Saccharomyces cerevisiae S288C: one gene and its partner. The protein of the gene in region 1 interacts with the protein of each later gene in a biochemical or structural test. Each region holds a gene or a part of one and is shown in the gene's direction. Other genes may lie near its edges.

What was found.
Region 2: the proteins of NUD1 (region 1) and MOB1 form a complex in vitro, tested with the Saccharomyces cerevisiae proteins (one study listed by BioGRID).

What each region holds. Positions count from the first base shown.
Region 1 is NC_001147.6:1,035,305-1,043,509, forward strand, and holds NUD1 (Nud1p), read left to right. Parts: upstream 1-1,529; coding exon 1,530-4,085; downstream 4,086-8,205. Other genes in the region: NDD1 (Ndd1p), read right to left, coding at 1-1,167; aldehyde dehydrogenase (NADP(+)) ALD4, read left to right, coding at 4,536-6,095; glutamate dehydrogenase (NADP(+)) GDH1, read right to left, coding at 6,374-7,738; YOR376W (uncharacterized protein), read left to right, coding at 7,887-8,205. UniProt on the Saccharomyces cerevisiae protein: Involved in astral microtubule organization by binding SCP72 to the outer plaque in a cell-cycle dependent manner. Required for the mitotic exit by facilitating the binding of TEMP1 to CDC15.
Region 2 is NC_001141.2:151,694-168,255, forward strand, and holds MOB1 (Mob1p), read left to right. Parts: upstream 1-14,721; coding exon 14,722-14,741; intron 14,742-14,826; coding exon 14,827-15,751; downstream 15,752-16,562. Other genes in the region: HOS4 (Hos4p), read left to right, coding at 1-3,153; COX5B (cytochrome c oxidase subunit Vb), read left to right, coding at 3,529-3,529, 3,618-4,072; HPM1 (protein-histidine N-methyltransferase), read left to right, coding at 4,352-5,485; COPII subunit SEC24, read right to left, coding at 5,692-8,472; YIL108W (putative metalloendopeptidase), read left to right, coding at 9,194-11,284; PFK26 (6-phosphofructo-2-kinase), read right to left, coding at 11,585-14,068; SLM1 (phosphatidylinositol 4,5-bisphosphate-binding protein), read right to left, coding at 15,888-16,562; YIL105W-A (uncharacterized protein), read left to right, coding at 15,971-16,111. UniProt on the Saccharomyces cerevisiae protein: Functions as an activator subunit for the DBF2 protein kinase. Binds to DBF2, which is required for the phosphorylation and activation of DBF2 by the upstream kinase CDC15 in late anaphase.

The sequences.
Region 1 (8,205 bases):
AATGTTATCTGATCTCGAAGCTAACAAGGGAATTCTAGAGTTATCCAATTTGGAGATAGATTTAGTTATTGATGAATTTAATTGGATGGTAGTCGGTGAAGAGCCGTATATGTCCTGTTTATTTTCGTTGTCCTTAGTTAGTGTGCTAGTGCTATTGATGGTATCCTGGGGGGTTTTAATAAATAATTTTTTATTGTTAGATCTTAGCGGCGTTCTCTGTAAGATGTTGTTGGCATTTTCCAGCCCTATGGATGTTGCATTAGTGGTAATATCCTTTCTTGCCTTCTGAAAATCCACTAACGCGCTGTTAGACGATATCAATGCTTTTGCATAAGGTGTACCGACGTCATTCAGAATTTTTCTTCCATATGGTGTCAACGACAGGGAGGAGAACCTTTTTGATGGAGATGTCGGCAGCGGTTGATTGAACATGAGATTCATGTCAATCTTACTCAGAGGAGTGCGTGAAAATGCGCCGGTGCATGAAGATGAGGGTGTTTTTCCATTACTCTTCAAAAGATTGTTCAAATCGACATTGCTAAAAACATTCTGTTGTTGACCTGGGTTCTCTGTGGTGCTTTGCTGAGCACCGTTAGAATCTGTTACAAATCGAAGTGGTGTCTTTGCCGGAGTTTTGTGAAAGAAATTGAAATTGGTGGACGGAGAGTCCAACAAAAATTCTTTGAATTGCTCTGGGGATGCAACCAAAAATTCGCTGGGTAAAGAGTTGCCGAACTGCAAAACAGAAGAAGGTTGAACGTTGATATCGTCCAAAGTCTCACTTGTATCTGTCCTTGTGACAGCAGGAGGTACAAGTGAACCTAGAGCTTGCTGTTGTTGTTGTTGTTGTTGTTGTTGTTGTTGTTGCTGTTGTATCTGCTGATGATGCGGTAATATACTGTTCTCTACCAACGACGATTCGTTGCTCGAACTGTTGTGAGCGTCTGTATTGGCAAAATGATCTTGAGTCTGTTGATACTGATTAGAAGAATAGGGCGTGGGGAATTGAGTCGTTGTAGGTAACGGACTGTTAAAATTATATTTGAATTCTGACATTACCTTCAAAAAATTTGTATCTGCATTATTGTCCGTAGAGGGCTGTCTTGAGGAAGTTGCAGTTGCCCCAGTTGAGGTATAATTTTGCTGGTAGCTTATATCTCTGTCCATAGTTGGAATCAATGCTCTATTCTGACCAATTTATTCCAATTTGGACACTTTTTCCACCCACAATGCCGATGCCAAATATTCAGAAGATCCTTGCAGCTCCTTAAGGCTCTGTCCTATTTGTTTTGTTTTGTTCTTGTTTTGTTGTTTTTTTTTTTTGCGTCCCGTTTCTTTTCGCGAGGAGGGTTACGCCAAACGCCAAAAGGCTTATGCGGGTAGTGACCTAAACTTGTTTACTGGAATGCTATTAACGATGCACAACAGATAATGAATAAATACAGATGAGTATCTAGGATGCCAGAAGTGTTCAACAATATTCAGGTGAAAAAATTGCCGACTAGGTTGAATAGTAAAAGCATACCGAAATGGATATGGATACGCAGGAGGCAGAACTATCGAGCCAGCTGGAGAATCTTACAATAAATTCACCACGAAAGCTACGCTCGAACGCGCACAGTAACAGTGGTAAAGTGTTTAAGGAATATGAAAGTAACCACGATTTTCAAGATTCAAATTTTACTTCCCAAGTTGTGGAACCTGCAATATCCGATTCTGTCAAAAAACCTCCTACAATGACAGTTTTGAACAACTATAGCACGGTGCATCAGAAAGTGCCGTCAGGTTTTTCAGGCACGACTGCTACATCTCATCAAGAAGCTCAATGGAAGCAGTATTTCCCTGGTATTGGTAGCGGCGGTGGTACCAACTTTGGTGGCGCTGTTGGTACTGCAAACAAAGTTCCTGAATCGGATCTCATTGTGAGCGACTTGGTTAAGGATTTATCTGGAGTTCTTGAAACAAATACATTTAAAAGACATTTAGATATGAAGAATAAAACTACTACTATGCAGACCCATGAAAACCATGATACGATTAGTATTTCACATTCTAAAGATTTCTTTAACGCTGAGAAGGTCTCATCGTCGTTTTCTGATGACAGCGATTCTGGCCCAGCAGCTGAGGCACATGATGTATTTGATGGCATATTACAAAAGCAAAAATCGAATTATTTGGTGGGTTCTTATCCAAGTAATAGCAACAACAAAAACAATAATAATAATAATAATAATAATAATAATAATAGTATTAATATTAATAATAAGGATAACGCTAGAACGAAGGAGGAGGACGAAGAGGACACTTCCAATTCTTTTGAATTTTCATCATCGTCATCCATGTCGTCCTCTCAAACTCAATCAGGCAGAAAATCAAAAGTTCTCAAGAAACCTCCATTGAACACTATTTCACCCGGTCAATTGGGATATCAGTTTAACCATACACACGGCGCATGGGATCCGCCGCTGAACCAGGGCTTAGATGTGTCGAGTTCACATTCTCTGGACAATACATCTTCCAACCAGTCCCAGTTCGCCACAATGGTACCAACTGGAGATAATCACACTAACGGTAAGGCACCTTCAATTCTAGATAAGAAGGCGTATGAATTAACCAGTACCAAACCAGGTGATGTTGGCTACCGCCAAAAGAAAATACAAGAAGAAGAAAATCTAGCAAATAGCGATGACACGCCCCTAGACACACCAAAATTTAATGACCTTTTTACGAAAAATGGCACTAGAGCGAAGGTTAAAGGACAAATGCGTACCTCTCGTTCAATCTCTAATTCCAATCTACTAGAAGCTCACAAGAAACTAAAGACCTTCCCCGCTGAACGGGTTGAAGATATTACGTCCATTTCCGAAGTAAACACCTCGTTCAACGAAACTGAAAAGCAGCTAATATCAATCTTGACTAGTAAACTATCTGGTTCTCCAAGCTATGATTCCGATTGGGAAAAAATCCTGAAAGTTGACCTATCAAGGGGCAAACTGAAGAATATGTTTGGCATGCAAAGACTACTACCGAATGTATTAGTGCTAAACCTTAGTGACAATGAAATGAACACTCTAGAAGGTATACCCTCGAACGTTGTACAGCTATTTTGTTCAAACAACAAAATAACGAGCGCACATTGTTCATTAGCCGGATTCCACGATCTGGAATGCCTCGACTTATCGTACAACCTCTTGAATACAAGTTTAAAATTTTTGTCACTTTGTCATCACCTGCAAGAGGTGAACCTTTCTTACAACTCCATCCAATCCTTAGAAGGGATAGGATCCTCCAGGATGAAAAAACTGAACCTTTCTAACAACGAGATTAATGGTATCATCGATTTCGAACAATTGATACTAACAAACAACTCTGTCGTGGGCGGCTGGTTGACCGTGGAAGTCTTAGATCTAAGCAACAATAACATAATTGGCGTAAGAAACATCAATTGCTTGCCCCGCCTGAAGGTTTTAAACCTCAATGGTAACCCGCTAGTTTCCATCGTGGAATCTTCTAAGATGGAGAACGGAACGTTGAGAGCGCTTTCCATCAAAAATACAGGAGGCGCGCTATCCAAATTACAAAATTACAAGTTGGATGATCAATTCACGTTCCCCTACCAAAATCTAAAGATTCTAAAACTGGACGGCTTCGCTCAACTTAGCAAATGGCAAAAATGGCCTGCCACTTTGCAAATTCTGGAGATCAACGGCGGCCTGGCCTCCTCTTTGCCGCGATTCTCTTCTCTAAAATCCACCAACTTATATTCTCTAACTATAGCTAATGTTAGAGACTTCACACACTTACCAGTGGACCTCTCCAAGGAACTACCGTTCTTGCAAGAGCTACATCTGCCAGGCAACAACCTACAAAACGCACACAAGTTAACAAAAACTCTCCCACGCCAATCAGTAAAATTTCTTGATCTACGAAATAACCCAATCACGACACCACGCCACGATCGCGCCAGCACGAGCTTGCATTACCGGCAGTTGCTCCAGCTTGCTGGCCTCTGCCAGCAGCAATGTCCCGCCCTGGCGACCCTCTGGTTAGATGACACTCCTGCCCCAACTGCCACGAATCTGTAACCCCATAACTATACCCGTACGCAGTACTAAAAATGTATGTAATTAGTAAATGTATGTAACAATTTCACCGTTTTGTGTAACAATTCATTCATTCATTCTTTTGATCCTTTAGTACCGTCCGCACATGATGTCATTTCCCCCTCATTTTTGTTTGCTGGTATGATTCCCCGCCCGGGCGACGGTACGGCTGTTATCCAGCGATGCGGGACTTCCGTCCACAGGTATCTTTTTCTCCAACTCCAACAGAGATGGAAAATGAGGGGCGGGTGTAGGTAAGCAGAATGAGGAGAAATTTGTAATGAAAATGGAAGTTCGGCGGTTATATAAATGGGGGGGGTTTGTCGGTGACAATTGACTTCACTCTCCTTTCCTCAAAAATTCTTGGGTGTTAGGATTAGAAGTATCTGGAAAACCAACCAAGAAAACTACAATAACAAAAATAAATAAAGCATGTTCAGTAGATCTACGCTCTGCTTAAAGACGTCTGCATCCTCCATTGGGAGACTTCAATTGAGATATTTCTCACACCTTCCTATGACAGTGCCTATCAAGCTGCCCAATGGGTTGGAATATGAGCAACCAACGGGGTTGTTCATCAACAACAAGTTTGTTCCTTCTAAACAGAACAAGACCTTCGAAGTCATTAACCCTTCCACGGAAGAAGAAATATGTCATATTTATGAAGGTAGAGAGGACGATGTGGAAGAGGCCGTGCAGGCCGCCGACCGTGCCTTCTCTAATGGGTCTTGGAACGGTATCGACCCTATTGACAGGGGTAAGGCTTTGTACAGGTTAGCCGAATTAATTGAACAGGACAAGGATGTCATTGCTTCCATCGAGACTTTGGATAACGGTAAAGCTATCTCTTCCTCGAGAGGAGATGTTGATTTAGTCATCAACTATTTGAAATCTTCTGCTGGCTTTGCTGATAAAATTGATGGTAGAATGATTGATACTGGTAGAACCCATTTTTCTTACACTAAGAGACAGCCTTTGGGTGTTTGTGGGCAGATTATTCCTTGGAATTTCCCACTGTTGATGTGGGCCTGGAAGATTGCCCCTGCTTTGGTCACCGGTAACACCGTCGTGTTGAAGACTGCCGAATCCACCCCATTGTCCGCTTTGTATGTGTCTAAATACATCCCACAGGCGGGTATTCCACCTGGTGTGATCAACATTGTATCCGGGTTTGGTAAGATTGTGGGTGAGGCCATTACAAACCATCCAAAAATCAAAAAGGTTGCCTTCACAGGGTCCACGGCTACGGGTAGACACATTTACCAGTCCGCAGCCGCAGGCTTGAAAAAAGTGACTTTGGAGCTGGGTGGTAAATCACCAAACATTGTCTTCGCGGACGCCGAGTTGAAAAAAGCCGTGCAAAACATTATCCTTGGTATCTACTACAATTCTGGTGAGGTCTGTTGTGCGGGTTCAAGGGTGTATGTTGAAGAATCTATTTACGACAAATTCATTGAAGAGTTCAAAGCCGCTTCTGAATCCATCAAGGTGGGCGACCCATTCGATGAATCTACTTTCCAAGGTGCACAAACCTCTCAAATGCAACTAAACAAAATCTTGAAATACGTTGACATTGGTAAGAATGAAGGTGCTACTTTGATTACCGGTGGTGAAAGATTAGGTAGCAAGGGTTACTTCATTAAGCCAACTGTCTTTGGTGACGTTAAGGAAGACATGAGAATTGTCAAAGAGGAAATCTTTGGCCCTGTTGTCACTGTAACCAAATTCAAATCTGCCGACGAAGTCATTAACATGGCGAACGATTCTGAATACGGGTTGGCTGCTGGTATTCACACCTCTAATATTAATACCGCCTTAAAAGTGGCTGATAGAGTTAATGCGGGTACGGTCTGGATAAACACTTATAACGATTTCCACCACGCAGTTCCTTTCGGTGGGTTCAATGCATCTGGTTTGGGCAGGGAAATGTCTGTTGATGCTTTACAAAACTACTTGCAAGTTAAAGCGGTCCGTGCCAAATTGGACGAGTAAGGTCATCAATAAGCCTGGTGTCCAATCGATGCTTACATACATAAAATTAAATATTCTGTCTCTGTTATATTTCCACATGTCATCATTTCAAATATATGTACTTTAAAGAAAATAAAATAAAAAATAAAATTTTTTTCTCCCGATAATCAATTTTCTTAATTAATTAATTGCGTTACGATTCCGTTTTTTTACTTCTTTTATCTCATTATCTATCTAAGTTATTTAAAAAAAAGAAAGAACTTTTTATGAACTTTCCTCTTTTCTTTCTTTTAGACTATTTAAAATACATCACCTTGGTCAAACATAGCATCAGAGACCTTGATGAAACTTGCGATATTAGCACCTTTGACCAAAGATGGCAAGACCTTACCGTCCTTAGTGTACTTCTTGGCATAGTCGATACATTCATTGAAACAGTTGATCATAATTCTCTTCAACTCTTGGTCAACTCTTTCGCTAGTCCATGTGATTCTTTGAGAGTTTTGTGCCATTTCTAAACCAGAAACAGCAACACCACCCAAGTTAGCAGCCTTTGGTGGACCGTACCAAACAGCTTCGCTTGGTCCAGTGGCGGTGGAACGAGCAGTTTCAAAGACGGCAATAGCTTCTGGAGTGGAACCCATGTTGGAACCTTCGGCAATAAACTTGACACCTTGAGCAACCAAGGCCTTGGCTTCTTCACCGCTGACTTCATTTTGGGTGGCACATGGCAAAGCAATGTCGACCTTTTGGACGTGGGTCCATGGACGAGCACCAGCAATGTATTGCACTTTGTTTTCGGAGAAAGTAGAGTATTCGTTGACGATTTGTTCCAAGGACTTGAAGTTGACCTTAGCACTGGAAATATCAGCGACTTGTTCGGAGGTGATACCAGTTTCAGAGATGATACAACCCTTGGAGTCAGATAGGGAAACGACAGTACCACCTAGCTCAATAACCTTCAAGGCAGCGTATTGAGCAACGTTACCACTACCAGAGATGGTGACGCGCTTACCTTCGAAAGATTCCTTACCGTTTGTGGCATAGTCGATCATAGCTTGAGTATAGTAAACTAAACCGTAACCAGTGGCTTCTGGTCTGATCAAAGAACCACCCCAGTTCAAACCCTTACCGGTTAAGACACCTTCCCAGGAGTTCTTGTATGATCTGTAAGCACCGAACAGGTAACCAATTTCACGACCACCAACACCGATATCACCAGCTGGCACGTCAGTGTCTTGACCAATGTGTCTGCTCAATTCTCTCATGAAAGCATAACAGATTCTTCTGATTTCGTTATTAGATCTTCCCTTCAAGTCCACACATAGACCACCTTTACCACCACCCATGTCTAGGCCGGTCAAGGAGTTCTTGAAGATTTGTTCGAAACCCAAGAATTTCAAGATAGACAAGTTCACGGAAGGATGGAAACGTAGACCACCCTTGTATGGACCCTTGGCGGAGTTATATTGCACTCTGTAACCTTGAGCAACTTCTTGTTCACCCTTGTCATTTTCCCAGGTGACTCTGAATTGTATGATTCTTTCTGGAACAGAAACAATTGGCAAAACCTTTCTGTATTCTGGGTGTTGTTCGAAAAGAGTAGAGTCTTCCAAAGAGGAGACAACTTCTTCGTAAGCTTGTTGAAATTCTGGCTCTGACATTTCTTTTTCTTTTTGGTCTCCTAACTGTTATATTAGAATAATGCGATAGTACGTATCAAGCAACTTTCAATGCTATAAGAAAAGTCATTTAAAGAGTGAGAGAATATAAAATGGGTAAACGCATTTGTAACTCTCGTATATTTTATATATGAAAAACAGAAAATTTTCCAATCTTCTCTTACTTAGATTACGTATACTTTGCTTTAACAAGAAGCCGGCCTTTGCTGCTACTTCTTACGCTTTCTTCTTCCGCAATTTTTCAGTGCTGATTTTCATTATGGTACCTGATGAAAAAGAAAACGGCGCAGCAGCTGATAACAGCTTCTCTCTGCTGATTGGACGTGGGGTCGTACTATTTCTTTTTTATTGCCCCACCGCACTGAAAATGCATGGGCCGGTTCCGGCGCATTGGTTCTGCGATAAGAATATCGAGGCCATCCAATCAGATGGTCAGATAAGGTTATTAA
Region 2 (16,562 bases), on another chromosome or scaffold:
AAACAAGAAACATCCGAAGAGGAAGATACTGCCGGCAAGCATGAACAAAGGGAAACACTGTCGGAAGAAGTAAGTGATAAGTTTCCAGAAAATGTTGCATCGTTTCGCTCACAGACTACAAGCGTTCATCAAGCCACCCAAAATAACCTGAATGCAAAGGAATCCGAAGACCTGGCCCATAAGAATGATGCGAGTTCACACGAAGGAGAGGTTAATGGGGACAGCCGTCCGGACGATGTTCCTGAAACGAATGAAAAAATAAGCCAAGCAATACGAGCGAAAATTTCGTCATCATCATCATCACCCAATGTACGTAATGTTGATATCCAAAACCATCAACCTTTTTCGAGAGACCAACTTCGAGCGATGTTGAAAGAACCAAAAAGGAAAACTGTTGATGATTTCATAGAAGAAGAGGGTTTGGGAGCTGTTGAAGAAGAGGATTTAAGTGATGAGGTACTTGAAAAAAATACAACAGAACCAGAAAATGTGGAAAAAGATATAGAGTATAGCGACTCAGATAAGGACACAGACGATGTGGGAAGCGATGATCCCACGGCACCCAACTCACCAATAAAACTTGGTCGTCGCAAACTGGTTAGAGGTGACCAACTTGATGCAACAACAAGTTCCATGTTTAATAACGAATCAGATTCTGAATTATCAGATATCGATGATAGCAAGAATATTGCTTTATCCAGTAGCCTATTTAGAGGCGGTTCTTCACCTGTGAAAGAGACAAACAACAACCTTTCAAATATGAATTCTTCACCAGCACAAAATCCAAAAAGGGGTTCTGTCTCCAGGAGTAATGATAGTAACAAGAGTTCTCATATAGCTGTTTCCAAGCGCCCCAAACAGAAGAAGGGCATATATAGGGATTCTGGTGGTAGAACAAGACTACAGATTGCCTGTGACAAGGGCAAATATGATGTAGTCAAAAAGATGATTGAAGAAGGAGGTTACGATATTAATGACCAAGACAATGCTGGTAATACAGCATTGCATGAAGCGGCGTTGCAAGGTCATATTGAGATTGTGGAACTGTTGATAGAAAATGGTGCAGATGTAAATATCAAGTCTATTGAAATGTTCGGCGATACTCCCTTGATCGATGCTTCCGCCAATGGACACTTGGATGTTGTCAAGTATCTTCTTAAAAACGGTGCGGACCCAACTATACGTAACGCTAAAGGGTTAACTGCGTTTGAATCTGTCGATGATGAATCTGAATTTGATGATGAAGAAGACCAAAAGATTTTGCGTGAAATAAAAAAAAGGTTGAGTATAGCCGCTAAAAAATGGACTAACAGAGCAGGAATTCATAATGACAAATCTAAAAATGGCAATAATGCTCACACAATAGATCAGCCACCTTTTGATAATACCACAAAAGCCAAAAACGAAAAGGCCGCTGACTCACCTTCAATGGCTTCCAATATTGATGAGAAAGCTCCGGAAGAGGAATTCTATTGGACAGATGTTACTTCTAGAGCGGGAAAAGAAAAACTGTTTAAAGCTTCGAAGGAGGGACATTTACCATACGTTGGTACGTATGTAGAAAATGGTGGTAAGATAGACTTAAGGTCATTTTTCGAAAGCGTTAAGTGTGGCCATGAAGATATTACAAGTATCTTTTTGGCATTCGGATTTCCCGTAAATCAAACTTCAAGGGATAATAAAACATCCGCTTTAATGGTAGCTGTAGGTCGTGGCCATCTTGGAACTGTTAAACTGCTATTAGAGGCAGGTGCAGATCCAACCAAAAGAGATAAAAAGGGTCGTACCGCTTTGTACTATGCCAAAAACAGCATAATGGGAATAACAAACAGTGAAGAAATTCAATTGATTGAAAATGCTATAAATAACTATTTGAAGAAGCACTCTGAAGATAATAATGATGATGATGATGATGATGATAATAATAATGAAACATATAAACATGAAAAAAAGAGAGAGAAAACGCAATCACCCATATTAGCAAGCCGAAGAAGTGCCACTCCTAGAATTGAAGACGAAGAGGACGATACGAGGATGCTCAATCTGGCAGACGATGACTTTAATAACGATCGTGATGTCAAGGAATCTACAACTTCGGATTCGCGCAAGAGATTGGATGACAATGAAAATGTTGGTACTCAATACTCATTGGACTGGAAAAAACGTAAAACAAATGCCTTGCAAGATGAAGAAAAATTAAAAAGTATCTCACCACTCTCTATGGAACCTCATTCTCCAAAGAAGGCAAAATCTGTAGAGATAAGTAAAATACATGAAGAAACGGCTGCTGAAAGAGAAGCAAGACTCAAGGAAGAGGAAGAATACAGAAAGAAAAGATTAGAAAAGAAAAGAAAAAAAGAACAGGAACTACTACAAAAGCTGGCCGAAGATGAGAAAAAAAGGATCGAAGAACAGGAGAAGCAGAAAGTCTTAGAAATGGAAAGATTGGAAAAAGCTACTTTAGAGAAAGCAAGAAAAATGGAAAGGGAAAAAGAAATGGAAGAAATCTCTTATAGAAGGGCAGTAAGGGACTTATATCCGTTAGGACTGAAGATTATTAACTTCAACGATAAACTTGATTACAAAAGATTTTTGCCGCTATATTATTTTGTAGACGAAAAAAACGATAAATTTGTGCTCGACTTGCAAGTAATGATATTGTTGAAGGATATCGACTTGCTCTCAAAGGACAACCAACCAACTTCTGAGAAGATTCCCGTCGATCCCTCGCACCTGACTCCATTGTGGAATATGTTGAAATTCATTTTCCTGTATGGAGGTAGTTATGATGATAAAAAGAACAACATGGAAAATAAAAGATATGTTGTAAACTTTGATGGGGTTGATTTGGACACAAAGATTGGGTATGAGCTTTTGGAGTACAAAAAATTTGTTAGTTTGCCCATGGCGTGGATTAAATGGGATAACGTTGTTATTGAAAACCACGCAAAAAGAAAAGAAATTGAAGGAAATATGATTCAAATATCAATAAACGAATTTGCACGATGGAGAAACGATAAGCTGAACAAAGCGCAGCAGCCGACGCGCAAACAGCGTTCTCTAAAAATACCTCGAGAGTTACCGGTTAAATTTCAACACCGTATGAGCATATCCTCCGTCCTCCAGCAGACATCCAAAGAACCATTTTGGTAAAACAATTCATCGGTCCGTTGGCATATGCTCATACATAGTTGCATTTTCGATTCATTAAATACTATTCATGTTAACATAATTCCATATAATCGTACTGTTTTGTCATTATTATATCGGCATGACACTCACCAATTTCTTTTTTTGATTTTGTATTGTTCGATAAGGCAACGAACGAGTACTCGAAAAAATGTCATGGACCCCTTAAAATTACTGAGGGGTTCAGAAAATACCGTGCAAAAGACGAAAAAAGACGAATTTCATTTGATTTATATTTTATAAATGACTGTTGCATTAAACAATAGACCAATTATTTCAATTTAATATTCTTTGCAGGAAACTTTCACAATGGAATAACGCCACATATTCATTGTAAAGAGCATGTATAACAAACACTGATTTTTGTTTTGAGTTTTAAAAGATATCCATTTACTAACATTCGAGGTGTACAAGCACAAGTTTTGCAGTGTTGCGTACTTCTCTTACTAAAGGGGCACGGCTAACTGGGACAAGATTTGTTCAAACAAAGGCCCTTTCGAAGGCAACATTGACAGATCTGCCCGAAAGATGGGAAAATATGCCAAACTTAGAACAGAAAGAGATTGCAGATAATTTGACAGAACGTCAAAAGCTTCCATGGAAAACTCTCAATAACGAGGAAATCAAAGCAGCTTGGTACATATCCTACGGCGAGTGGGGACCTAGAAGACCTGTACACGGAAAAGGCGATGTTGCATTTATAACTAAAGGAGTATTTTTAGGGTTAGGAATCTCATTTGGGCTCTTTGGTTTAGTGAGACTATTAGCCAATCCTGAAACTCCAAAGACTATGAACAGGGAATGGCAGTTGAAATCAGACGAGTATCTGAAGTCAAAAAATGCCAATCCTTGGGGAGGTTATTCTCAAGTTCAATCTAAATAAGTAGACGAGGAAAATAAAATTGTTTCGTATATTCCGTGTTTGGGGTATAAGTAGATTGTTTTCATATATACGCATTTGGTCTTAGTTCAGTAGGTTGATTACTTAGTTCCTTGTACCTTCTTCTGCAAATATCATTCATTGTTACTTCGAAGAAGAAAAAAAATAATCATGGAAAATTGGAAAAAAAAAAAGTCCAATCTAAAAAATAAAAATGTTCAAGTCATCGATTCTATGGGGAGGAAAAGGACAATCAGAACCGAAGTGTTGTGTAGCTAAAATATGTCATTTTCCTTCGGCTTTACTTCCAATGACTTTGATGATGATGAGCTTGTTGCTCAACCTGAAACATTCGTTGAAAGCAGCAAAGAAAACGAAAATACCACTGCTTACATCAATCCATTAGATTCGGATTTCTTGTCGCAAGCTGGAGTTGTGCAGCCAAATGTGGAAGACCTAGGAACAATATTGGAAAGTCTTAAGGATGTTAGATTGACATTTGAAGAGTTCCAATCTCCGATATATAGAAAACCATTGATCAAGAGGGAACTATTCGATGTCAAACATCAGCTAATGTTAGAGACAGATGCCCAATCCAACAACAACTCCACGGAACTGGACATTTTACTAGGTGATACTTCTGAAGATTTGAGAAAGAACATCTATGAAGGTGGGTTGAAATCATGGGAGTGCTCTTATGATTTAGTTGATTTGTTGTCAGAGAACGTTGATAGAATAAGCAACGATATCGACGCGGTTGTCGAAATAGGCTGTGGTACGGCACTACCCTCAGAGTTTCTTTTCAGATCTGCTCTTCTACGGAATGATAGAAGTAAAGGTTTAAAGTTTGTTTTGACTGACTATAATGCCAGTGTATTAAGATTAGTTACCATACCGAATTTGGTTATAACATGGGCTAAAACGGTTTTGACAAAGGAACAATGGTACGCCTTACAGAAAGACGAATGTGAAGATATTCCAATAAATAATGAGGAACTGCTTCTTACCTCAAAGCTGTTAGCTGCCTTTTACGACGATGTACAAAGCAGGAATATCAGCGTCACTCTTATATCAGGATCGTGGGGACGTAAATTTAGTAATTTGATCCATGAAGTACTCTCAGGTAGCCAAAAAGTCCTTTCATTATCCTCAGAAACAATTTATCAACCTGACAATTTGCCCGTTATAGCGGAAACAATACTTGACATACACAATTTACCACAAACCGATGTCAAAACTTACGTAGCCGCAAAGGATATTTATTTTGGAGTCGGTGGTAGCATCACTGAATTTGAAGCTTATTTGGACGACAAAATAAACTCCGAACATCTACCAATTCATTCTGAAAGGTTTAAAGTTAACTCTGGCTTAAAAAGGTCGATTATATGCATTGAAACAAATAAAGCTATCCGATAGTTAGTATAATTTGTTTCAACTTCATTTCCTTAAGTTAATCCATAAGTCTTTTACTGTATCTTTTATTTATAACATGGATGAAAATAGAAAAGAAATATAGAAGTAAAAATTAAAGTAACTGTTCAATATACATAATATAATTGGAAAGCAAAAATGCAACCAACAAAAATATACAGTTTCTTTTTATCATTGATTCCCTTTTAGCCTTATTTGCTAATTCTGGCTTTCATGATTTGTAAGAATTCTCTGTAACTTTCGTTATTCAAAATCTTATCCTCCACTAAGGTGCTAGAAGCCCATAGTCTTAGCGTTGCAACTTCCCTAGCAGATGCATGGTTAACGGGCTCGCTCAAAGAGGCACCCCTAACAATATACAATGATTGGTAAGTGATGACATCATCATGGTTTCTCAATTGGTTGATAATGTTTCTTACTCTTTGATTGAATTCAGAATTTTCAACAACAGGTATTTCCTGTTTGCCAATTGGAATGTCAAAGATATCCTGTGTTCCAAACACATCGAATACTAGCGCTGGTACAGCGTCACCACCCATCCACAAAAACAATTCGTTACCATTATCTATCAAGTATAGACCGTATCTTTCAAACAACGAAGAGGTAGCATTGATTGGTTGAGGCAAAACAATTGTGCCAGTAGCTTCACCATCTTCAGTTTGCACTGGTAACCCAGCCTCATCAGCCATATCATGCAGCGAATAAACATCAGGGTAGATGTTTTTGATTAGATATTTCAAAGGTAATGATTCTAAGTTGTTCAAGGCCGAGGCGCGATGGTCACTTGGGACAATACCAGATCTAAATGCCATATGCTTAGTTAAAGAATGCATTAACAATGGGAACATTCTCAAATTGGCACATAACCTCAATGGGGCCCCCCCTGCAGTGTTGGACACCACTATTTCCTTCTTGTACGTGGCTAAGATATCTTGCACGGATTTGTTGATCAATACTCTTGCATCGTCCAAACTGGAATTCAATGCTTTCTCCACCGCCTTCGAGTTGTAAAACGACGCTATAGCTAATTGGTCAGCAGATGCGTAGACTTCTGCCAACGATTCCGTGGTTGGCATAGCCAATGTTATAATTCTTATTCTACGTTGACTATTATTCAGAGATAAAAGTACCGCTACTTGAACATAACAATAGTCAGCCATAATGGATTCATCAACGTTAACTTCGAATAAGTATGATTGATCTCTTGGCATGGTGGAAAATGCACATAAATCAGATGATCTATTGAAGAAGTGACCATAGAATCTACTCATTCTCAAACCTGTGGAACCACGGGCTCTCATTACGGTTTCCATACAGAAATCCATGGAAATGTGCTTGGCAAACTCAGTGGAAAATTTGACAATATCATTTGGGTTCTTGCCTGAAAAACCAGGATAGAAATGCGTTTGACCAGCAGTGAAACGACTCAAATTCGATAGTGATGCAACGTCCATATAATCTTCAGAAGCCAAAAATAAATCGACAGTAATCTGTACTTTAGAACAATCGATGGTGAAATTCTTATAAAATGAGTCTTGACAGGAAAGTAGTTGTGCAGTTTCCTTGGATGTATTAACAACACCACTTTCATTTCTCCTTTGTAATTTTCCTATGCCTAAGTTGGGCAAAGTACCTGACACAACAATTATTTTACCACCAACGCCACCAATTAAATGATAAGCGGATTTCAAAGCGGGGCCCAGTGCGAAATTTGTGATTAAATTAGATTGGAAGATTTGAGGAATCTTGGTCAATAAAGTTTCAATGTTTTGTCTGCAGGCCTTTAAGGACACAACCATAGAGTTTGGTCTGGGCAAGAAAGGCTCTTCCAGGTCGGCAATATCCATCATGTTGATTTGATCGGCGGACTCTTCATTGTTTTCAGAATCCAATGGGATTTTAAAGTAGTGAATGGCGTTGTCTACACATAAGATGGAAATTCTGGTTCTTTCATCATGGTTTGGAATGGAATCAAGATTTTGCAAAAGGGTGTTGATGGTAGTGGCCAGTAACCCACTCTTGATAGAGGACTGGGAGACATCGATCAGGAAACAGTAAGTGGCTGGAGGTGGTTGTCTTAGAGTATATTCCTTTGGGGCCATATATTCCATCACAGCACATTTGATTTCATTTCTGTCGTATCTACTCTTTGGGTCGTTTGGATCGCTCTGGTCCATTTGCATAGGAACGTCATTGGCCAGACGACAAAAGTTACATCTCCATCTTCTGCCTTGCTCGATAAAAGTGACAAAAGGGTTCATGTAAGAACGACAACGACGACAACGGACAATAAGTCCATCTTCATTCAATGGAGGCGGGTCGATATCGTCGTACAAGTGTTGGTATGGTCTGATAACAAGCCCAAATGGAAGTTTAGACTTCTTCAGCAGGGAGCTGTTCTTAGGAACGGCGTTCAAGGTCGACCTGATATAATCTGGAGACGCATTGGACAATTCAGAAGGAACTAACATCCTTTCTGGAGGAATAACCAACGGTGGGGGAGGCAAGGTCAGATCGGTAATTGGAGGAGGCAATTCCGTCAACAGATCGATTGGATACAACTGGTTCATGGGCCTCATGTTTTGGCCCATTGCGGCGCTAGGTTGGCCATACGCAGGCGCTGCCATTGGTTGTTGCTGTTGCTGCAAAGGTGTGCCCATTTGCACGGGAACCTGTGGCTGCATATAAGCGTTAGGATCGACTAGCGGTACGTTGTGCAGATGCATATCGTTCATGGAAGTGGTGGCCTGATCAATTTGCTGGTGTAACTGTTCTTGAGCAGGGGTTAGGAATTGTTGCTGCCCCATGGAAGGGACTGCACCCTGTGGCGGCATTCCCATCTGACCATAGCTCATTCCAGCTGCAGCAGGATCCTGCGGAGGCATGAATTGTGCTGGCTGTTGTAGAGGGGTGGCATTTTGTCCATACTGGAGCTGAGCTTGTGGGTAAACACGTTTCTTGTGATGAGACATTTTGCAGATGGTCTCAGACTTATATATTTATGTCTGTTTCAATGCGGCAAAAATGGACCTGAGTGCCAGATAAAACCTTTTTGTAGTGCTATTTTTGGCCTGTTTCCTGATGTACCATCCTCCTTACATAGTTTTGTTTTTCTTCGTTTTCGTTCTTCCAGTTTTCATTTTCTTCTGCCGTAAATGGAAAAAACAAGAAAAAAAAAAAGAGAACAGCTAAGCGTTAACAAATCTGCTCCAGTGGCCATGTCCAAGACTGTTTTTCAAGCCCAGATAGTGCCTGAATAGACTGCATTAAGCTGAAAAACTTATAGCAGTGGTTAGTGCAAAATGCACACTTGTCAGTGCTATGTATATTTGTGACACGATTCTATCACCCAAACATAGCACTAATTACTTTTTTGTTACCCGGCATTCTAGGCGGAAATTTGCTGAAATTTTCCATCAATTAATTACGTAACCTATTCTTTTAAGAGCATGATGTTGTATATAAATATAGATCACCTTAGGAACAGTCAGGCTTTCTTAGGTTTCAGAAGTTCATGTGTCTTGGCGCAGTCAATTCTCTCGATCTTTTTTTGGTTTGGACGTTTAAGAGTAGCGGTCGCCGGAAAATAGAGAGAAAAAGGAAATTTAAAAGGAGTTCTTCTTTCTTCTTATTATTAGATCGTATACAGTAAAAAAAAAAAAAGGAAGTAGTAGTTCGAAGAGAAAGAAATAAATGGTAGGCTCGAAGGATATTGATCTATTCAACCTGAGAGAGAACGAGCAAATCGTTTCTCCTTGTCTTATCGTGCACGGAAAATGCAATAAGCAAAATGGTGCGAAGACCGTTCAAGTGCAGCATCCACAATTGCCTCCAATTACTTACCCCATACATAATCAGTTCTTCAAGGCCACTGTGATATTGACTCCTGGTGAGAACAAGTTGACCTTTGTTACAGACACTAACACCGCTAGGACAATCGTATGTTACTACACACCACTGACGCAGAACCCTCCCGTACACCTGTGTCTGATCTTGGCCAAGGATTCGCCTTTACAGTTTGACTCTCCTCGAGAACAGAAGGACAGAGAGGGCGGGAATGGCCTCGAATTGGCAATCAAGAAGCTAAGACTTGGGGCCAGACTCATGCAAGCGTACACGAACGAGCAAATGCTGAGAAACAGTATGGGAAATAGGACGTTTCCCTTTGTTGAAGAATTTACCTGGGACACGCTGTTCGAACGGCCTGCTATGAGAAACACCATCAAAATACATGTAGTTCGTTCGGAAAAGACGGTGAAGGAAATCCAGGACCCTGACATAGCTCAACAGAATTCCAAAGGGAAAAACACCGGCGCCCTTTTTGGGATAGCCATGGACGCCCTTAAAAGTTACGGCGGACCCTTCACCAATAACGAAAAGCCTGTTCAGGCAGCTTGTATGTTTCTAGACACCCACTGGGATGGTAAGTTGATTAGAGGCCACGCCGCATTGGGTGGGGGTGACGACAGCATTAAGCTCGCCATTTTTGGGTCGCACGGGCTTTACTCATGGCCTACTTGTCTCGAGCAATTGGTGCCTTATTTTACTGATGAGACAAGATCCTCCACCAGTGAAGTCGCCAACGACTGTAATGAGTGTGGTACTTACTGGGAATGTTTGACTATCACGTTGGGAGCATTTATGCATGAGATTGGTCACTTACTGGGTTGTCCTCATCAGGAAAGCGGTGTTATGCTAAGAGGCTATACCACTTTGAATAGGTCTTTCTTGACTAAAGAGGCTTATTCTGTAAGAACTAATTCAACTGGTGCTAGTCCTCCCATCTTCCCCAAGGAAGAATGTACCTGGAACCGTCTCGATACGGTAAGATTTTTGTACCACCCCTCTTTCACTTTACCACAGGATTATTACGATCCATCGTTCATGAGACCTACAAAATTGGGCGGATACCCCAATATAAAACACTCTGTATATCCTTTGGGTAACGGCAGTTGCCGCATATTATCGCCCACAGGAATCTATTTGATTGAAATTATATGTGATGATTTGGCCAGGGGCCATATTGAATACTTGCCGGTTTCCCTAGGTGGACAGGGGCCTCAACGGGAAGTTATAGTAACATTAGATGATTTACGTGCCAGGTTGCCCAAGAATGAACTCGCCAAGTTTGGCAATACCTTCAAATTGAAAATTCTTTCTGTTAATGCACCGGAAACCGAGTTCGACAAGTTCCCATCTTTGTTAGATGTTCAGCCATTAGACATGTCGAAATATGGGTTTTCTAAAAATGTTCAAGGTATCAAATCACCACTTTATGGTCGCAGCGACGGTGGTAATGCTGTCGGCGTCGTCGCTTTTGATGTTAGATTAGTCACTGCTGTGAGAATATACCATGGCTATGCATTAGATGGTGTGAGGTTTTATTACAAGGAAAAACCAACTGGAACAAAGGATGCTCCCGCATCCAAGCCCTCTGTACCACCAAGAAATTATTTCTCAAAAATTACACATAGTATCAAAAATCATGCTTCAATAAACGAAGAAAATCTAAAAAGTGTACTCTTTGGACATGAAACACAAAATTTTACGGATGCTACACTAGAACCGGGTGAAATAATCATTGGGTTTAATCTGAGGTGCGGAGCTTGGGTTGATGCTATCCAAATTATAACGAGTCATGGGAGAATGACCGACATGTTTGGTAACAAAGACGGAGGTGGGTTCGCTGAATTGCAGCCACCTAATGGCCAATATATCCTAGGTGTGACTGGCAGAGTCGGTCAATGGGTCGACGCCTTCGGAATTATTTACGGAGCTTTATAGTAATTAGTCAAGGTTTTTTTTTTCTTATTTTTTTCTATTTCATAACTTAGTCATATCAAAATATATCTATTAAATTATTTTCCATATATACGTAGATATTCTTCATTTGCATAATTCTTTGGGAAAAAGGAAAACAGTTATAGAAAAATATAAACAAAAAACCGCAACACTTCATGATTGCGTCGAACAATATACCTTAAAGAAGAAAAAAAAAGGTTGGTTTTATCACTTCATTAGTCTATTTGAATAATTCATAAAATATTTCTGATTTTTTTTTTTTTTTTTTTTTTTCATATTATTTTAAACGTGACTTTGGCTGCGATTCATGGTTTTTGCCCTTATATCTTCGTTGTCATTATTATCAGCATTATTAGGATAATCCTTTCCATGTAATAGAAAACTTTTATTTTTCAACATGGATAACTTTTCGTCCACTTTATCTATTTCAAAAATTTGCCTTGGTGTAGCCGCTGACTTCTTTACATTAGGTACATTAGAAGCCGCTTTATTGTTGTTAGCCAAAAGAGGATTCACGTTGTTTTGATTTGGAACAACCCTGGGACGATGTATCGAAATTGAGGTACCTCCACCATCTAAGATGTTATTAGAAGTATTAGTGGCCATAAGTGGTGCAGATAATGGTATTCTCGAATCACCATTTTCATTCTTGATGTTAAAGTTGCTCCCAATGAGAGTGGTATTATTGCTGCCAGTTTGAGCACTAACGCTATTCTTGGGTTGTTCTGATAATTCACTCTGGGATGAAGATGCAGAAGTAGGATTAGATCTTTTTCTTGACAAAAAGTCACTTGCAAAGCTGCTTCTTGCACTTGGCGGAGCTGTTGGTATAACAGAATATCTTCTTTCATTATAAACAAGGCCAACCTCCTTTACTCTGGTGGTATTCAAGTCCGTTTGTGGGACCTTAGAAAATGAATCCGATGCTTCATCATACTCCCATAATGACCAAGTGATTCCATATGGTTTTGGTTCTAGGCAATATACACAATGTAATGGGACATCCAAATTGGCAATAATACCCATACTCAAGTTCATAAAATAACCCAATAAGGCTCTTGCCACCACCCGGTGTGTAATAATAAGAACGTTATCCTCGATTCTTTCTAGTTCTGTGATAACAGGTCTGAGTCTATTAATAACGTCCATATACGATTCACCGCCAATACCAGGGTATCTGTATCTCAACTTATCTTTCTGTCTTTTTTCGAATTCTTCAGGAAAGTTGTTTTTAATTTCTGGATATGTCATACCATCATAATCACCTGCACTTAACTCATCTAACATTTTCATTTGTTTGATAGGATAATCATCTTCGTTGAAATATTGAGCAGTCCCTATAGTCCTAGCACGCATGCTGGTCCAAACGAAAAAGTCATTATAAATGTTCCCATCTGTATTTTCATTATTCTTTTTTTGTTGCATGAGATTTTGATAAAATATTTCTCTCTGTCTGGCAATGAATTTTGGTAGACTTTTAGCAAATCTTAGACCACGAGGAGTCAAATGGGAATTTCCGCCTATACGGCCACTAACATTATCTTCGCTCTCGCCACTTCTCGTTATCCAAATTTGTCTGTCAGCCAAATTGAAATTTAACAAATAATATACCGTCTGCGAAGCTAAAAACCCTTGAATATTGTATGCGATGACTTTCTTTCCCACATCTATCATTTTGATGTACTGCAAATTTTCGTCATCCTCAATTGGTTCATAGGCTTTCAAGTAGTTTGCCAGGCGACTTTTAAAATCTTTTAAAGAGCTTTCAGGATCTTTACCTTTGTAATCTGGACCAAATAATTTGAGTCTAATATTTTTCTGTACCAGTGCATGATCCGAACAAACAGATTCTAAAAATAAAACCTTCAAATGAGGACTTCTCTTTCTGATTCTAGCCAGAACGTTTTTTCTTCTTTCACGAGAGGTATTTGTAGCATCAAAAATTCCCACAGATCCTGAACCTTCTAATAAATAATCTAGCAATTCATCCAGAGTATCCATGGCCCATTTGTCTCTCAACCTAGTAGAGTCGGCGTTTTTCGGCTCGAAAAACTTTGAATCCTGGTCCTTTAGGCCATGCTCCTTAGCAAACTTCCTTCTAGTGTTACCGACATTAAACACTTTACAATAGTATAAAGAATAATTTAAAAATCTGGATAATTTATTTGTAATAAATGACTTTCCCGTAGCTGGCAGTCCGACCATGACAATCACTAACTTTGATCCACTATCTTCCTTTGATATGAGACCATCTGGAGATGTTTTAGACTTTGTTAAACCAGGAACATCGATGGTGGTAGGTCTTCTTTTATGGTGTCTCGTAGGTGATTTAATGTCTTTCAAATCAATCCGAGTTACCTCATTTGCTCCATCTGAAGGAGGCATGTAGTCAGTAGTATCGTTTGTGGGAATTTTAGCATTTTTTAGTTGCGTTTCGTCGTTAATATGCAATCGATGTAGCGATTTCAAATTAGTAGCGCTATTTTCAGGAGAGTCAGAAGGTGTATTTTCTTCAGTGATTCCAGGAGAGTTCCAATTGCTCGATATAGGAGTATCGCTCAAAGGTCTTTTCTGAAAAAGTGGTAAGTGCTTAGATAATTCATCATGCGGACCCTTTTCAGCATCAATTTTATCATCGGAACTCCGGGATAAAAGATCATAACTGGAGTCTTGACTAGGTGCCACATGGTGTGGAGATTGTGTAGGAGCAAGATCAATATCAGGCGGCACAGGAGATGTTTCAGAGAAGTCTACTGGTTTGAACATGAGCTTTTATTCCTCTTGCCTTTGTTCCCTTGAATAAACCCTTCTTCTACGCCTCTTGTTATTATTTTTACTCTTTTAGCTTATGGCACAAAAGTACACAAATAGATACTAAAAGGCGAAATTTATTTCACTTGATTTACCCGTAACTGAATACTTGAGTTTGTCTATATATATATATGTATACCTTTTATTGTTAAAAAAAGAATATGCCAACAAAATCTATAATAAATAGTCCATGTACTCCACTATAAATTAATTTGCTATTGTCAGTAATGGCGCGATTAAAAATAAATAGGAAAAGAAATCTCTCCTCAAAAAATCTTATGTCCCCTAATTTCCGTATGTTGTGATTTTGGTATTCAGAGATGATCACGTGATATAAACGTGATTATTATTATCGGTCGGGTATCCCACTCGTATAATATGACAAATACGTTCGATCAAAAGAAGGGTAATACTACTTCCCAAAATGGAAATATCAAAACGTTAGAAGAATTACAATTATAGCTTTGGTAACATTACTGATCTAAAAGAGCCTTAGCTCAGCCCGTTTGAGCTGTATAGATATTTTTTTAGTTTATTCGAGAGAAAACCGGTTTTTTTGTTAGTATCTTCAACAAAATTTTCCTAATTCAATAAGGACTTCAATTTCCATGTCTTTTCTACAAAATTTGTATGTTGCTATTTTCTTTTCTACTTCAAGTATTATTGTTCATCTTTTATTAACAAACTGGGTATGAGTTACCTTTTGAAAGCAGTCATATAAGTCCCGGCCAAACAATAAGATCTACTAGAGGTTTCAAGTGGAATACTGCCAATGCAGCTAATAATGCAGGCTCTGTATCGCCTACTAAGGCAACTCCCCATAACAATACTATTAACGGCAATAATAATAATGCCAATACTATTAACAATAGAGCAGATTTTACAAACAATCCAGTAAACGGATATAATGAAAGCGACCATGGAAGGATGTCTCCCGTCCTCACTACGCCAAAGAGGCACGCCCCTCCGCCTGAACAATTACAAAATGTAACGGACTTTAACTATACACCATCGCATCAGAAGCCGTTTCTACAACCGCAAGCAGGTACGACAGTTACAACACATCAAGACATCAAGCAAATTGTGGAGATGACACTGGGGTCTGAGGGAGTCCTTAACCAAGCTGTGAAGTTACCGCGTGGTGAGGATGAGAATGAATGGCTAGCGGTTCATTGCGTGGATTTTTACAATCAGATTAATATGTTATACGGGTCCATCACAGAATTTTGCTCCCCACAAACATGCCCGAGGATGATAGCGACGAACGAATATGAATATCTTTGGGCATTTCAAAAGGGTCAGCCCCCCGTTTCGGTAAGTGCCCCTAAGTATGTGGAATGTTTGATGAGGTGGTGTCAAGACCAATTTGATGACGAATCTCTTTTTCCTTCCAAAGTCACCGGTACCTTCCCGGAGGGATTCATCCAACGAGTAATTCAACCAATTCTAAGGCGATTATTCAGAGTTTATGCGCATATTTACTGTCATCATTTTAATGAAATTCTTGAACTAAATTTACAAACCGTACTAAACACAAGTTTTAGACATTTTTGTCTTTTTGCACAAGAGTTCGAACTACTAAGACCGGCTGATTTTGGTCCGCTGTTAGAATTAGTGATGGAGTTGAGGGATAGGTAGTATTGTATATTTATATAAGTCTGCTTGTAGGTTGTATTCTTCCATGCATGGGACACAAAAACAAAAATACGGAAACATATTAATATAACATATGGATGGAAGGAAATAAAAACATTCTAGTTTACTATACTTGTATTTATGATTTGAAATCGTTTATTGGAGTTTGAATATAAATATTGGGAACTTGATCTTGTAATTCAGAATCATTAGTATCAGGTAATGAAGACATGGATGTATTCGTATTTGTTTGATTGTCCAATTTTGGTGTTACCGTGGACCCCACATAATTACTATTTATATCATCGTTTTCATCATTTTCTACCATTGTGCTATTGGCATTACTCAGCTGATACTTATTAATGCTGGTATGGTTATTGGTTAGCTTGGGTTTCCCATCTGAATTCAAGTTTAATTTTTGTGTTATGAATTTATACTTGTCTTGTATATTCGAAGTAGATGTTAAGATCTTCAAATTATCAAACCAAGACATCATTGATTCATAAGAATCGGCTTTAAAAACCCAATTGTGACCACGACGAATTATGCCGTTTTGCTTAGCATGCAACACAAACTTAGCATCCGAACCAGTCGAATTTGGTGATGATGTACTGTTTTTCCGGGAATGTTCCGTCACAGTACATTCACTTAATGCTAACGACATCACTGGTACTAAATCTTTTTTTCTGTCCGCGGTCTTGAATTCATGTAAAAAGTTCGGTGTCAGCACATAATACCCTTTTGAATAGGATTTTAGAAATTTTGATCTTCTTTCTAAAAACCCTGATTTGATTTCATAAGTCAAAGGATCGAA